Callithrix jacchus: one gene and its partner. The protein of the gene in region 1 purifies or fractionates together with the protein of each later gene. This does not show direct contact. Links are inferred from orthologs where the notes say so. Each region holds a gene or a part of one and is shown on either strand. Other genes may lie near its edges.

Region 1 (7,398 bases):
GCATGATCTGCACATGTACCCCAGAACCTAAAGTACAAAAAAAAAGTGCTGTATTGGTTTGTTCTCACACTACTAATAAAGACATACCTGAGACTGGGTAATTTATAAAGGAAAGAGATTTAATTGACTCACAGTTTTATATGACTGGGAGGCCTCAAAATCCTAGTGGAAGATGGAGGAGCAAAGGCACATCTTATGTGGCAGCAGGCAGGAGAGCCTGTGTAGGGGAACTGCCTTGTATAAAACCATCAGATCTTGTGAGACTTATTCACTGTCATGAGAACAGCACAGGAAAAACCCACCCCCATGATTCACTTACATCCCACTGGGTCCTTCCCATTACGTGGGGATTATGGGAGCTACAATTCATGATGAGATTTGGGTGGGGACACAGCCAAACCATATCAACTGCTAAATAGCAATTTGATAAAGGAAGTCTACAAAACACACACACAAAATCATACTTAAAGGTGAAACACTGAATGCTTTCTACCCAAGATAGGAAAACAAGGATATTTACTTTTACCACTTACTGGAAGTCTTGTCGGTACAGTCATGGAAGACAGTGTAGATTATTAGTTTATCGCCTCATACCCCATTTCCATATTCTGTATCATAGCATCCTTTTTTCCCCTAATAATTGTTATATATTCATTAATTTACCTCTGTATTGCCAGTCTTTCTCAGTAAGCTCCTGGAGAGGGGCATATGGCATAGTATCTGTCATAGAATTATAATAAATATTTGGTGTATTAATTGCTGTCATTCATTGAGGGCTTGCTCTGTACTGTGCTCTATCCTAAACACTTTACATGCATTATGTTATTTAATTCTTTAGCAACCCAATAATATGGTTAATTTTCTCACTTTACTGTACCAAATAGTTACATAGGGTTTATTATGTGCTAGGCACTCTCTATACACCTTACTTGTTCTACCCATTTTATAGACTAGGAAACAGGGATTAAGAGTTTAGCAGTTTGCCTAAGTAGTTGAGCCAGTCTTTGAACTTAGGAAGTCTAACTTTAGATCCTGTGCTTTTAAACTATTCTATACTACCTCACTAGAAAACAAAGAAATAGAATGCTTTTCTATTCTCATCTTAATTTAATTTTTAAATTTAAAAAATAGCAAGTTTGGGCCAGGCACAGTGGCTCACGCCTGTAATCTCAGCAATTTGGGAGGCTCAGGCAGTTGCATCACCTGAGGTTAAGAGTTCAAGACCAGGCTGGCCAACATGGAGAAACCTTATCTCTACTAAAAGTACAAAAAAAAAAAAAATTAGCCAGGAGTGGTGGCAGGCGCCTGTAGTCCCAGCTACTCAGGAGGCTGAGGTGGAAGAATCGCTTGAACCCAGGAGGCAGAGGTTGCAGTGAGCCAAGATTGCACCACTGGACTCCAGCCTGGGCAACAGAGGGAGACTCTGTCTCGAAAAAAAAAAAAAAAATAACAAGTTTGAACTAACAAATCTGTGCAGTGCAACAAAATGTAAAATTAAAAGTTATCTTATTTACACTCTCAAATTCTACTCCTCACAAAGTCAACAGCCCTTAATGTCTTGATGTGTACTATTTAGGAGTTTCAAGAAAGGAAAAATTTCTAAATGAGATACTGTTTTTTTCCGAGTAGTATAGCAGACATTTAAAAACGATTACTGGCTAGGCATGGTTGCTCACGCCTGTAATCTCAGCACTTTGAGAGGCCGAGGTGGGTGGATTGCTTGAGGTCAGGAATTTGAGACCAGCCTGGCCAACATGGTGAAACCCCATCTCTACTAAAAATACAAAAATTAGCTGGGTGTGGTGACACGTGCCTGTAATCCCAGCCACTCTGGAGGCTGAGGCAGGAGAATCTCTTGAACCTGGGAGATGGAGATTTCAGGAGCCCAGATCATGCCACTGTTATTTCAGCCTGGGTGACAAAGTGAGACTTTGTCTAAAAAACAAACAACAAAAAAAAACAATTACTAATATATATTATTGGCAAATGTATGGAGATCAAGCACTTAGGTACACTACTGATGGGAATCTAAATTTGTACAGTCTTTCTGGTACATAATTTGACAGCCTATCAGAATTTTGAATGTGTTTATCTTTGATCTATCAGTTGTTTTTCAAGGGTTTTTTTCTAGGAAAAAAATTGGGTAAATACCATAAACTTTGTAAGATATGTGCATAAAGGTAAAGATACATACTGTATAGTTTATAATAGCAAGTTTTAAAATTCAGCATTCAAACAGTCCTTGACTAATCTGGAGGTGTTTGGTGAATTACAGTATGTTACCATTTAGACAGTTAAATAATGGTAGAATTTTTTCTTTGTGAGATAAATCAGAGTAGACTTAAAGTAAAATAAACCTTCTCCTTAAGAAAAGTCAATTCCTTTAAATCAGTTTCCTCATTTAAAATCATTGTAAGGTGATGTATGGAACTTACTAACATAGCTCCTGATAATAAGTAATGGCTATTATTACTACCATCTCCGAATTTTTTAGTTAACATTTTTTGGTAATCAGAAAAAAAAATTTACGTGTGTGCGTGCACACACACAATATGACCTCAGCTAGGTAGCTTATACCATATCAACTATCAAAGGTTTGTTAAAAACCAGTTCTTAGATTCAACAAACATAAATTTAGGTGGTCTGGCTCCCTGTGAACTCTGGCAACTCTCTAAATTTTAAAAATAACCTTAACTCCAAAATGGAAATCCTAACCAAAGTGCCAAACTCTTGAGTGTTTTTTTGAGGCTCGAATTAAATAATGTAAATATGAGTAATTTGAAAAAGTGCTCTACAAACACATTTCGTGTAAGAGCTGGTTTTAAGCATATTGCTTCACTAGATTATCTATTGCCTAACATAATGCCTGGAATCTAATGGGTTATACATTTATTACTTACATATTTTTTAATTGATAAATTTTTTGCTTTTTTCCTGCATATTCAAAGTTTGATTTATTATAATCCTTTGATACATAGATTTTCAGTTTTTTCACTTTTTGTTATTATAGAAAAAATAACTATTAAAATTGGTTTACAGTGTTGCTCTTTCTCTTAATTTAGGAATGGAACATTACTAAACTTTCAATTGAGTATGATTCTGAGCCCTTTGGCAAGGAACGAGATGCAGCTATTAAGAAACTGGCAACTGAAGCTGGAGTAGAAGTCATTGTAAGAATTTCACATACATTATATGACCTAGACAAGTGAGTCTTTTTTTTTCTTTTCTTTTTTTACTATGGGAAAATGCATATAACATAATATTTATTATCATCTTAACCATTTTTAAGTATATAGTTTGGTGGTGTATAACTACATAGAGAAGTTTTTAACTGAGGTTTATGAAGTAGAAATCAGAGTTATGGGAGAATTAAGTGAATATATGTCAAATCCTTAGCATTTTATTTCACTGCTACTGACCCAACAACAGGTATCAGCATTTCCATTTCAAAACTGTTATGGATTAAGACTGTTGCAAAATTTTCCTCGACTACTCTTAACTCAGCCTCCTGTGGTCTTGCCTTTCTGGGCTCTTAGCATTATCAATTTATAGTTATATTATTCATAGTTATAAATTGCTTTGATATTTTGTATGTTTGTTTAATGTTATCTTATTTTCATATATATCTATCTGTCTGGATTTTAAATCCAGATGCAAATTGGATGTAATATAATGTGCATAGCTATAGTCCTCTGAATAATCGCATAATAGGATGTTTCTCAAAGTGTATTTCTTGAAACACCAGTCCTGGCTGATGCTTTGTCCCACTGAAATTCTGTGGTAAAACTTAAATTTAGGGAGTATTATATGCTTGAGTCTTAGAGATCTATAAAATTTCTTAACTTGCTAAAACTTTTAGCATGCCATTGTCCTTTTAAGTACTGAAATCTTATAATTTATGTACCTTTTAAATCATTTTGCTTTTTAGTAATTTATATATTTTATCTAGTAAGACAAATTCTGTAACATGACAAACTAGTTGATTTGATTTGACATTTTAAGTGTATCAAAAAATCATGATTTGATTCAGACAAAGGTCTAACTTGATATTAAGCTAGAATTCATATATCTTTTAGTAATAGCCTTGCTTTCTATCTCACCAATTTGCTTAACTTTAGGGAGCTCATAGAAAGGAGGTGGCAAAACAGGATAAAAGCAGTTGCTTCTAAGTGGGAGATTCAGTGTTATGCATAAAATTAGTGTTTATTGAATTGAATGCAAATATTTACTATATGTAATCTATCATATTAAAATGTAACATATAGAAAGTGTTTTGTCCTAAGATTTTCATTTTGCTGCTATTGTGTAGTTACCAATGTCCTCAGTAGTAGTATTGTTAATACATTACATTATCAGTTTATTCATAGGGTTGCAATGAATTTGTAGCAAAATTCATGTAATGATTTTGTAGCAAAATTACAAATTCATGTAATGATTTTATAGCAAAATTTATTGCAAACCTATGAATAAACTCAAAATACACAAAGCAAAATTTACTTAAACAGGATAGCTTTTATGGTGATTGCTTTCTGTATTACTTTCTGTATCTGTAGTTGACACATAACTATGTATGGTATGAAAAAATACAATAAAATATACTAAGAAAACCTTGATTTGCCATTTATCAGTTATATGACCTTGACTAGATTACTTAACCCTCCTGGTAGGCCTGTTTCCACATCTATAAAATGATGGACCCCAAAACCTAAAATGCAATAAAAATAAAAATAGGCCGGGCGCAATGGCTCAAGCCTGTAATCCCAGCACTTTGGGAGGCCAAGGCGGGTGGATCACGAGGTCAAGAGATCGAGACCATCCCGGTCAACATGGTGAAACCCCGTCTCTGCTAAAAATACAAAACATGAGCTGGGCATGGTGGCGTGTGCCTGTAGTCCCAGCTACTCGGGAGGCTGAGGCAGGAGAATTGCCTGAACCCAGGAGGCAGAGGTTGCGGTGAGCCAAGATCACGCCATTGCACTCCAGCCTGGGTAACAGGAGCAAAACTCTGTCTCAAAAAAAAAGTAAATAAATAAATAAATAAAAATAAAAATAAAAAATATATTTTTTAAAAACGATGGAATTGGATTTCACCTGTGATTTTTTATTAAGGCCAAATGCTAAGCAAATGGCCATAGTGAAAAAGAGTAGTTATTCCAAAATAGTGTTTAAACTTAATCTAAACTACCATTGGCAAAGCTAGTTGTTTTTTTTTTTTTAATTAAGACTTGATTGAGGTAATTAGTGATCAGAAGTAAATGAAAAGGTAAATTTAAATAACTTGAAATTTGGGGGCTTATGTGTTCTAAGTATGTGTCATAGATACATATGCTGACATCTCTAATGAAGGCATGAGTACAATGGTAAATAGAAAGTAATTGTAATTTACTTTTATAGTAATATAGAATCCAAATTAATAAAATTTGCTGAAGGAAATAGGGGAATTGTATTAGTCTGTTTTCAGGCTGCTGATAAAAACATACCTAAGACTGGGCAATTTACAAAAGAAAGAGGTTTAATGGACTTACAGTTCTACATGGCTGGGAAGGCCTGACAATCATGGTGGAAGGCAAGGAGGAGCCAGTCACATCTTACATGGATGGCAGCAGGCAAGGAGGGAGCTGTGCAGTAAAACTCCCCCTTTTAAAACCATCAGATCTTGTGAGACTTACTCACTATAATGAGACCAGCATGGGAAAGACCTGCCCCCATGATTCAGTTACCTCCCATAATATGTAGGAATTGTGGGAGTTACAATTCAAGATGAGACTTTGGTAGGGTCACAGCCAAACCATATCAGGAATGTAGATCCAAAGATACAAAGTAGAAGTTATATAAGATGAACAAGTCTAGAGGTCTAGTGTGCAGAGTGAGGGTTTTAGTTATTAAAATTGTATTTTATTTGGAATTTTTATCAAGTAGATTTTAGCTGATTTTGTCACACACATACAAAAAAGTAACTATATGAGATTTATAAATACGTTAATCTGCTTCACTATAGTAACCATTTTACTGTCTACTTGCATACCATAACGTGTTGTAAAGCTCAAATATACACAATTAAATTTATTTTTTCTAAATGACACCTGCTGATTTACTCTTTCATATAATTGTCAACCTGGTTTAGTTTTTATTGGTGATTGAGAGATTCTTTGAGCTGGGCCATAACGTGTTTTGCATATGTCTGTGTGTTTTAACTTTTTGTTATTGCCTTTAGACTGATTTACTTACTTACTTGGTTTTTTTTCTCATAAGTCCTTAATATTCTTTGTCTTAAAGGTTTTGATACTTGCATAGTGTGTATATATTTGATACCTAGAGTATCTAGAAGCTAAAGGGAATGATTTTTAAACTCATTAATCATTTTGAACACATTTCTTCGTCACTATAACAAGCTAACATTCTCCTTGAAGATTTCAGTGATTAATTTTATTTTCTGCTTTTTAAGCCTTTTGGGAGCTTATTAACCAAAACTTATTGCCCTCTTTTATACTAACCTACATTTTACTAACTGTTGTTATAGGATCATAGAACTCAATGGTGGACAACCGCCTCTAACTTATAAAAGATTCCAGACTCTCATCAGCAAAATGGAACCACTAGAGATACCAGTAGAGACAATTACTTCAGAAGTGATAGAAAAGTGCACAACTCCTCTGTCTGATGACCATGATGAGAAATATGGAGTCCCTTCACTGGAGGAGCTAGGTGAGTATAAACTATAATCAGTGTGAGTCTTAAAAGTTAATAAATCATAAATAACTCAGAAAAATTCCCTTTCAATTTCGCCATGTAAAGTATTTTGCATTAGGAGAGAAAGAAAGGGTGGGGGAAGAAGAAAGAAAGAACTCTTTAAGAAGTGATATGTTTGTTCATCATTTATGTGTTCTATAGATATGTAATCTGTTGTTATCACCTTAAGATGTACATCCTAAAAAATTGAAACCATGTCAAACTATGTCATATCCTCTTTAGGTGAGGGCTTTTTTAGGCCCTCAGTTCCTTTTTATGGTACTCTCTCAATTTTTCTGCAAAGTAATTTATTCTCCCAGTTATTGGGGTTAAATAAAAATTATTTGAGTTTCAGAAGAATGATATTTTTTTCTTTTCTTTCTTTTAGGGTTTGATACAGATGGCTTATCCTCTGCAGTGTGGCCAGGTGGAGAAACTGAAGCACTTACTCGTTTGGAAAGGCATTTGGAAAGAAAAGTATGACAATATAGATTATATAGCTATGCTCATATTTCCAAACTGCCATTTAAAAATAATTTTTCTCTCTTTTAAAAATAACAAATAGACTGTTGAAGGGGGAGCATTAAGGGAAATGGTTAAAATAGAATAAACCTAATTGTTTGAAAATTAACTACCCCTGTAATCCCAGCACTTTGGGAGGCCGAGGTG
Region 2 (6,623 bases), on another chromosome or scaffold:
TTTAAGTTTAAAGTCAAATAAGTATGTTTGGGTAGTTTTTTAAAAGTATAAAATACAACAGCATTAGTAACTTTTTATTCTGAAATTGCTAAAAGCATTTAACATATACTTTACTGTATAAACAAATTAAGTACTATGCATTTTGCTTATAAAGTGACTTAAAGTATTTTAAGCATTATATAATTCAATTTGTACAAAAAGTAAATTTCCAAATACAAGCTTTGGTTAGAACTGATAATGTACTGTCAAATCCATTTTCCAAAGTTGTTCAAAGAAGAAAAACTTCACTAGCACAGATAATTCTTGTACAATCAGCTTTTTACTATTTAGAAAGGGGAAATATTACTGTAATTGCTTTTAAATTTTGAGTCTAGATAAGCCTTTTATCTTCTCACATCTCCTGTTGCTACAGGAGAGCCTATCACTTTTGGGAAGCAGAAATTATGTAGAAAATCACCTTTTGCTTTATTCTTAAGAAGGCCATCCATTTTAAAAATAGATCTAAGACTTAGCTTCCTTAACTACTGAGATACTTTCTAAAAGTCACACTACTGAAGAGAGCCACTAAGAATTAATGTATTCCATTGGGGGTAAATCACTTCTGATTTCCCTCAGGAGGGCAGTAATATCTACTAACACTAGTGCCCAGAATCAAAGTTTATATCATCTAAAAAACTCAACGTTAAGACTCTACAATGCATGGATTACCTTTATTCATATGAAAGTAATATAAAATGTTACCTAACTTAAATATCAGTTTAACCAAATTAACAATCACAAAACTGCAGACATTTTTTATTAAAATTTTCAAGGTCACTGAGCAATATTTACTGAAAAAATGATTATGAATTTAAATATATCCTCTTTTATATTTACTGTTTATGCTAGACTGTACAATGGTGCTTCTTTTGTGGTTTATAAAAATTCTACTTAACATAACTATATACTTCCAAAATGGAAAAATGAGTGAGCCATCACTAAACTTTACTGGAAACTAATATTCTTTCTTGGAGACAACTGATTAACATTTTAAAGTTCTATATTTATTTAAATTTGGCTTTTTAAAATAGGTAAGCTTTTCATTTCAATTATTGTTTAATACTTCAAAGCTAGTTTAAACAAAGATAAGAAAACCAAGGAGAACTAGTAAAGCATTCCTTACTTTACATACAGTGCCTCAAGTGCCACATACATAGTAACATACCACAAGAGAATGTATACGGTTTAGCAGATTACAGAGCAAACCTAAAAGTTTATACAAAGCTAAACACAGCCTCCTTTCTGTCCATTTATTGTCTTTTAATTTGTCTTGGCTCTGTATTATCCTTCTATAATACCACTGTGTGACATTTATCAGTTTTCTAAGTGTTTCAATTACTTATATGTATCTTTTTCTTTAAACAGCTTTGTAACAATCTTTTTCATTAGAAATGATATATCCATTTTTCTCACAAAATGCTCACTTTCCTGAGCTATATTAAACACCTTATAACAGGTGTATGTATAACTGAAGACCCTAAAGTATCAAGTTTACATTTTTTAAAAAATGCATAGAAAACATAACATTTCAGAAAACCTATTAGTACTTCTTGGATATTACATAGGTTTTGTTTCCTTTAGACTGTAAACTGTTTAATATGTATAACTGGTTATTACTTTCACATCTGAACCACATTTTAAAAAAATATTCGTAGATATGATTGCTATTAGGCTAAGGAAACAAAGTTTTCTGACCAAAATTCATTCAAGGGTCTTCCAATAAACAATCTTTATATATACTGACTGAAGATATCAAATTTCTGTGCCACAAAATAGAATTATATCAGAACTACAGCAAATAAAACTTTTATTATAATACATTTGCTTGAAATTAAGGTGCTATTCATCATGCCCTACATCATGCAGTCTTTACCAAGTGGGCATCATGTCAGGAAACCACACCCTACCAAGATGCTTGGACACTTCCCAGTGAATCTGCTCCAAACTATACTTTTGGTCAGGAATTAATACTTCTTCCATAATAGATAATTGAGATAGGCGGCCACCACACATCTTCACAAACTCAACAAAGGCACTACATGAGACTTCACATTCCCCTAGTCCAATAGCTGACAAATTTTTGCAACGTTCTGCAATGCGAATTAACTCTTCATCAAGTGGCCGTAATCCATTTGCACACACTACTAGTTCAACTAGTCTAGGGCATGTCATTCCCACACGGCCAAGCACATCTTTACTTACTGATCTCCCAAAGTACAAATGGGTGGCAGGTATTTCATAGCGAAAGAATGGGTCAAATTCTTCTTCATATAAAAAAAAATACATCACCAAGTTCACTTTGGGTGAATGTCTGATGAAAGCATCCCAGCTGCTCTTCTGAATAGTATGGAAATGTGTCTGTCCAGGATTCTCACTGACTACATCAATACGCAAATGTTCTAATCGAACATGTTTTTCAGAAGACAAAGCAAGTAACAACTCATCACTTAGTAAGTGGTAGTTCAGGGCTAGTTCCCTTAAGCCATGGCACTGATCAGCCACACAAAGGATACCTTGAAAGAAAGAAAGGAAAAAAACTAATTATTTGCAAGTTTTTGTAAAAGTTTATCTGTTCAAAAATTGGATCAAGTACATGTTCCACAAAGTTTGTCACAGTTCCCTTGCCACAAAACTATATAATTTAAAATTTATTTGTATAGTTGAATTAGGAAGTCACACACATTTTCTAAATCCCATCATCTATTAAAAAAAAATAAAACTTATCGACTCAGACAATAATGAACTCTGTCACTTAAAAAATATACCATCACTAAGGTTAGTGCATTTCAGTAATGCACAGTGCCAGATTTTTAAAAAATTATTACTAACACTAAACTTATAGGTTAAATAATTACATGATCACTGCAATGGAGGCCAAAGGACATTTTTTGAAGTTCAAACCCTAATATTAAATTTCTAAGAAAAAATACCAAGATAACACTAAATAAACATGTCAAAAATAATTACTCAATTCTGTTGACTCTGCCTTGGCCTCCCAAAGTGCTGGGATTACATACTGAGCCACCATGCCCGGCCAATATAATTCTGCCCCAAAGAGGCACCTTATATTATCTGGTAAAAGTAACCCACTTAATCAATTTCTTTCTTATGTTTAGAAACAGGAATAGGAACAAAAAAGCATACATCATATTTTCATCTACTATTTATTGTTGCAAGCATAATATGCCAGGTACTAGAGGTTATCCCACAAATAATTTAAAAAATCTGAAAAAGTATTATTTTTCTAACTTGAAGTGGAGACAGCTAGCTAAAAATAGCAAAGCTGCAATACAAACACAGGCTAAGTGATTCTTATGTCCATGCACTTAAGTACTGCTTAAGAAGTGACAAGACAGAGGCCCACATATAAGCCAGAGCTTTATAACAGTGGGAAAAGATAGGCAATAGAGTTACAAGAGAATCACTGAATCACCGGAATGAGTCACCAAAAGAGGGAGTAATGTCTCAGTATTCAGCAATCACAAAGTTTCTGTTTTCCACAAGGTAGGTATATACTTTGTTTTTGTTTGGAGATGGAGTCTCACTCTGCCGCCCAGGATAAAATACAAAAATACAATGGTGCGATCTTGGCTCACTGCAACAGCCACCTCCCAGGTTTAAGTGATTCTCCTGCCTCAGCCTCCCGAGTAGCTGGGATTACAGGCACACACCGCCATGCCTGGCTATCTTGTATACTTTGAAATACCCCTTGATTACTCAAGGTAACCTAAGCATACCTCTGTTCTTTGCAATCTCAAAAAGCTTAAATATAAAAGAAGAACAAACACATGGGAAATGGTAACCAACAATGCAAATAAAAGAAACTTTGGAGTATCATTTAATAACTACAAAAGCAGTTGTGGCAGGTGTAATTCGCAAAATGGCCTTCAAGATTCCATACCCTAATGCCTAGCATCTGTGAATTCCATAAGATATCATGCCCATGACTGTGATATACAGCACAGTTGACCATAAATGAAAGATTATCTGGGTGGTCCTAGTCTAATCACATAAGCCCCTTTTTAAGCAGTTTTATCTGGTTGACTGGAGAAGAGGAAGTCAGAGATTCAAAATGCAAAGGGGACTCAACATGTTATTGCTGGCTCTAAGCTAGACAGAGCCAAAAAAGAAAAACAGAAGCAGCCTCTAAGAGCAGAGAGACCCCCAAACAACCTCTTGCTGACAGCCAATAAGGAAACTGGATGTCAGTCCTACAATTACAGGGAACTGAATTCAGCCAGTAACTTGAATGAATGTGGAAGTGGTTCTTCTCCAGAACCTCCAGATAAGAAGAGCCCACCTTCCTGACACATTCCTCTCAGCCTTTTAAGACTGTAAGCAGAGAAGCCACTTGAGCCCTACCTACAGCTATAATGTACAGAAGAGTGGAGTGAATAAAATGTTTAAGCTGCTTTGTGTATAGCTATCAGTTATGCAGCAAAAAGAAAACTAATATACAGTTCCAAGTGTTTAAAAACATAATACAGTGACAAAGGTAAAATAAAACCAGAGCATTATTACAACTCAATAAATTAAGAGAAAAACCCCAACTGGAAAAAAGGCAAAGGGGCTGGGCGTGGTGGCTCACACTTGTAACTCTGGCACTTTGGGAAGCCTAGGCGGTTGGATCACCTGATGTAAGGAGTTCAAGACCAGCCTGGCCAATGTGGTGAAACCTCATCTCTATTAAAAATACAAAAATTAGCCAGGTGTGGTGGCAGGTGCTTGTGATTCCAGCTACTTAGGAGACTGAGGCAGGACAAGCCCCTGAACCTCCTCCTGGGAGGTGGAGGTTGCAGTGGGCCAAGATTGTGCCACTGCACTCCAGCCTGGGTGACAGAGTGAGACCCTGTCTCAGCAAAAAAAAGATATTCAACACCTTTAGTCATCAACAAAATATAACTCAGCTGGGCAGGGTGGCTCAAGCCTGTAATCCCAGCACTTTGGGAGGCCGAGGCGGGTGGATCACGAGGTCAAGAGATCAAGACCATCCTGGTCAACATGGTGAAACCCCGTCTCTACTAAAAATACAAAAAATTAGCTGGGCATGGTGGCACATGCCTGTAATCCCAGCTACTCAGGAGGCTGAGGCAGGAGAATTGCCTGAACCCAGGAGGCAGAGGTTGCGGTGAGCCAAGATCGCGCCATTGCACTCCAGCCTGGGTAACCCACCAAAGTGAAACTCCGTCTCAAAAATAAAATAAAATAACTCAAAACTGCAATGAGTTTACACCCCCTAGGATGGCTACAATCAAAAAGACAAGTAAGTGTTAGAAGACACTGCTAGTGGATATGTAAAGTGGTACACTGCAGCTTTGGAAAACAGCCTGGCATTTCCTCAAACAGGCAGTTACTATATGATCACTAGGTATATACCTAAGAGAAATTAAACCATATGTCCACACAAAACTTGTACATAAATGTGTACAGCAACGTTTTTCATAATAGTCAAAAGGTAGATTTCCATTTATATGAAATGTCCAGAATAGGCAAATCTATAGAGACACAAAATAGATTAGTGGTTGCCTAGGGATGGTTGGGATGGAGGTTTTGGGGGCAACAGCTAAGAGGTATGTGATTTCTTTTTAGGATAATAAAAGTGTTCTAAAATTGTGGTGATGTGTGCACTACTTTATCAATACACTAAAAGTAAGTTATACATTTTAAATGAGAATTGTGAATTATATGACAGTAAAGCTGCTACTAAACTGATGATTAGTGGTGGCACTAATCATTGATTAATTTTCTCAGATCAACTCATTTGGGAAAAAAGCAACATGACAAGAAGCACAAAAACATTTGGACTCTGTCCTAGGACATCCACTTCTTAAGAATGTACCCTGAAGAAGAAATTAATACAAGCAAACTGCTATATGTGACTTAAAAAAATTTTTTTAAATCACAGCAAAAAGCAGAAACAAGTGTACAACCTTAGAACTATAATGCAAATGTTGGCTTATCAACAAGGGAACTAAGTAACTAAATGTTCATTAGTTCAAGCTGATAATTAATATTAAGGAAGCAACAGGCACCTAGTGGGACCAACAGTCATACTAACCTAGAGGTCCAGTTACAAACAATTATAACAACTATATGAAATGGAAACAAAATTGACTAAATGTTCAGTGAAGAAATTAGAAAACAGTACCTAATTTCAACTTAGAGAAACTGTCCAAATATGCAAAAATATATATGGAAAATATGTAAATATGAAATTTCAATAGAAACCTCAGTTATACTTTTCAAATAAAAAGTATTGAAAGTATTCTTTCTCTTCCCTTCCTTTCCTGAAGAACTAGTCTAAAGTCACTATGAAACCACCTTTGCAAAATTATAACTGAGGAAATAACAACAGTGAAAGAAGTCAGACCTAACAGACTCTATATTGCCTCTAACCCTTAAGCTGCCCTTGTTCATTCCTATGCGTAGGCCAACTAACTTTGGGAAGGAATTCAGTTCATGGTTTGACTCTGAAACAAAATTGATAACAGCCCTTTCACGAAATGACCCCTCCTTCTTGCCTGAGCTCCAGTGTGCCTTTACAGGACTTCTACACTAGCTACAAGATTAGAAATTACCATGTG

Evidence for each region. Proteins that work in one complex are often made in the same cells at the same time.
Region 2: the proteins of CRY1 (region 1) and FBXL3 purify together in Homo sapiens (affinity purification with mass spectrometry; 4 studies listed by BioGRID and IntAct, counting the BioPlex papers as one, with this or other methods). This does not show direct contact. The link is inferred for Callithrix jacchus from reciprocal best matches to the Homo sapiens genes CRY1 and FBXL3.

The regions. Positions count from the first base shown.
Region 1 is NC_133510.1:109,861,086-109,868,483, reverse strand, and holds part of CRY1 (cryptochrome-1), read left to right. Parts: intron 1-3,062; coding exon 3,063-3,205; intron 3,206-6,520; coding exon 6,521-6,705; intron 6,706-7,117; coding exon 7,118-7,206; intron 7,207-7,398.
Region 2 is NC_133502.1:38,295,588-38,302,210, reverse strand, and holds the end of FBXL3 (F-box/LRR-repeat protein 3), read right to left. Parts: intron 2,553-6,623; coding exon 1,909-2,552; 3' UTR 61-1,908; downstream 1-60. UniProt on the Homo sapiens protein: Substrate-recognition component of the SCF(FBXL3) E3 ubiquitin ligase complex involved in circadian rhythm function. Plays a key role in the maintenance of both the speed and the robustness of the circadian clock oscillation.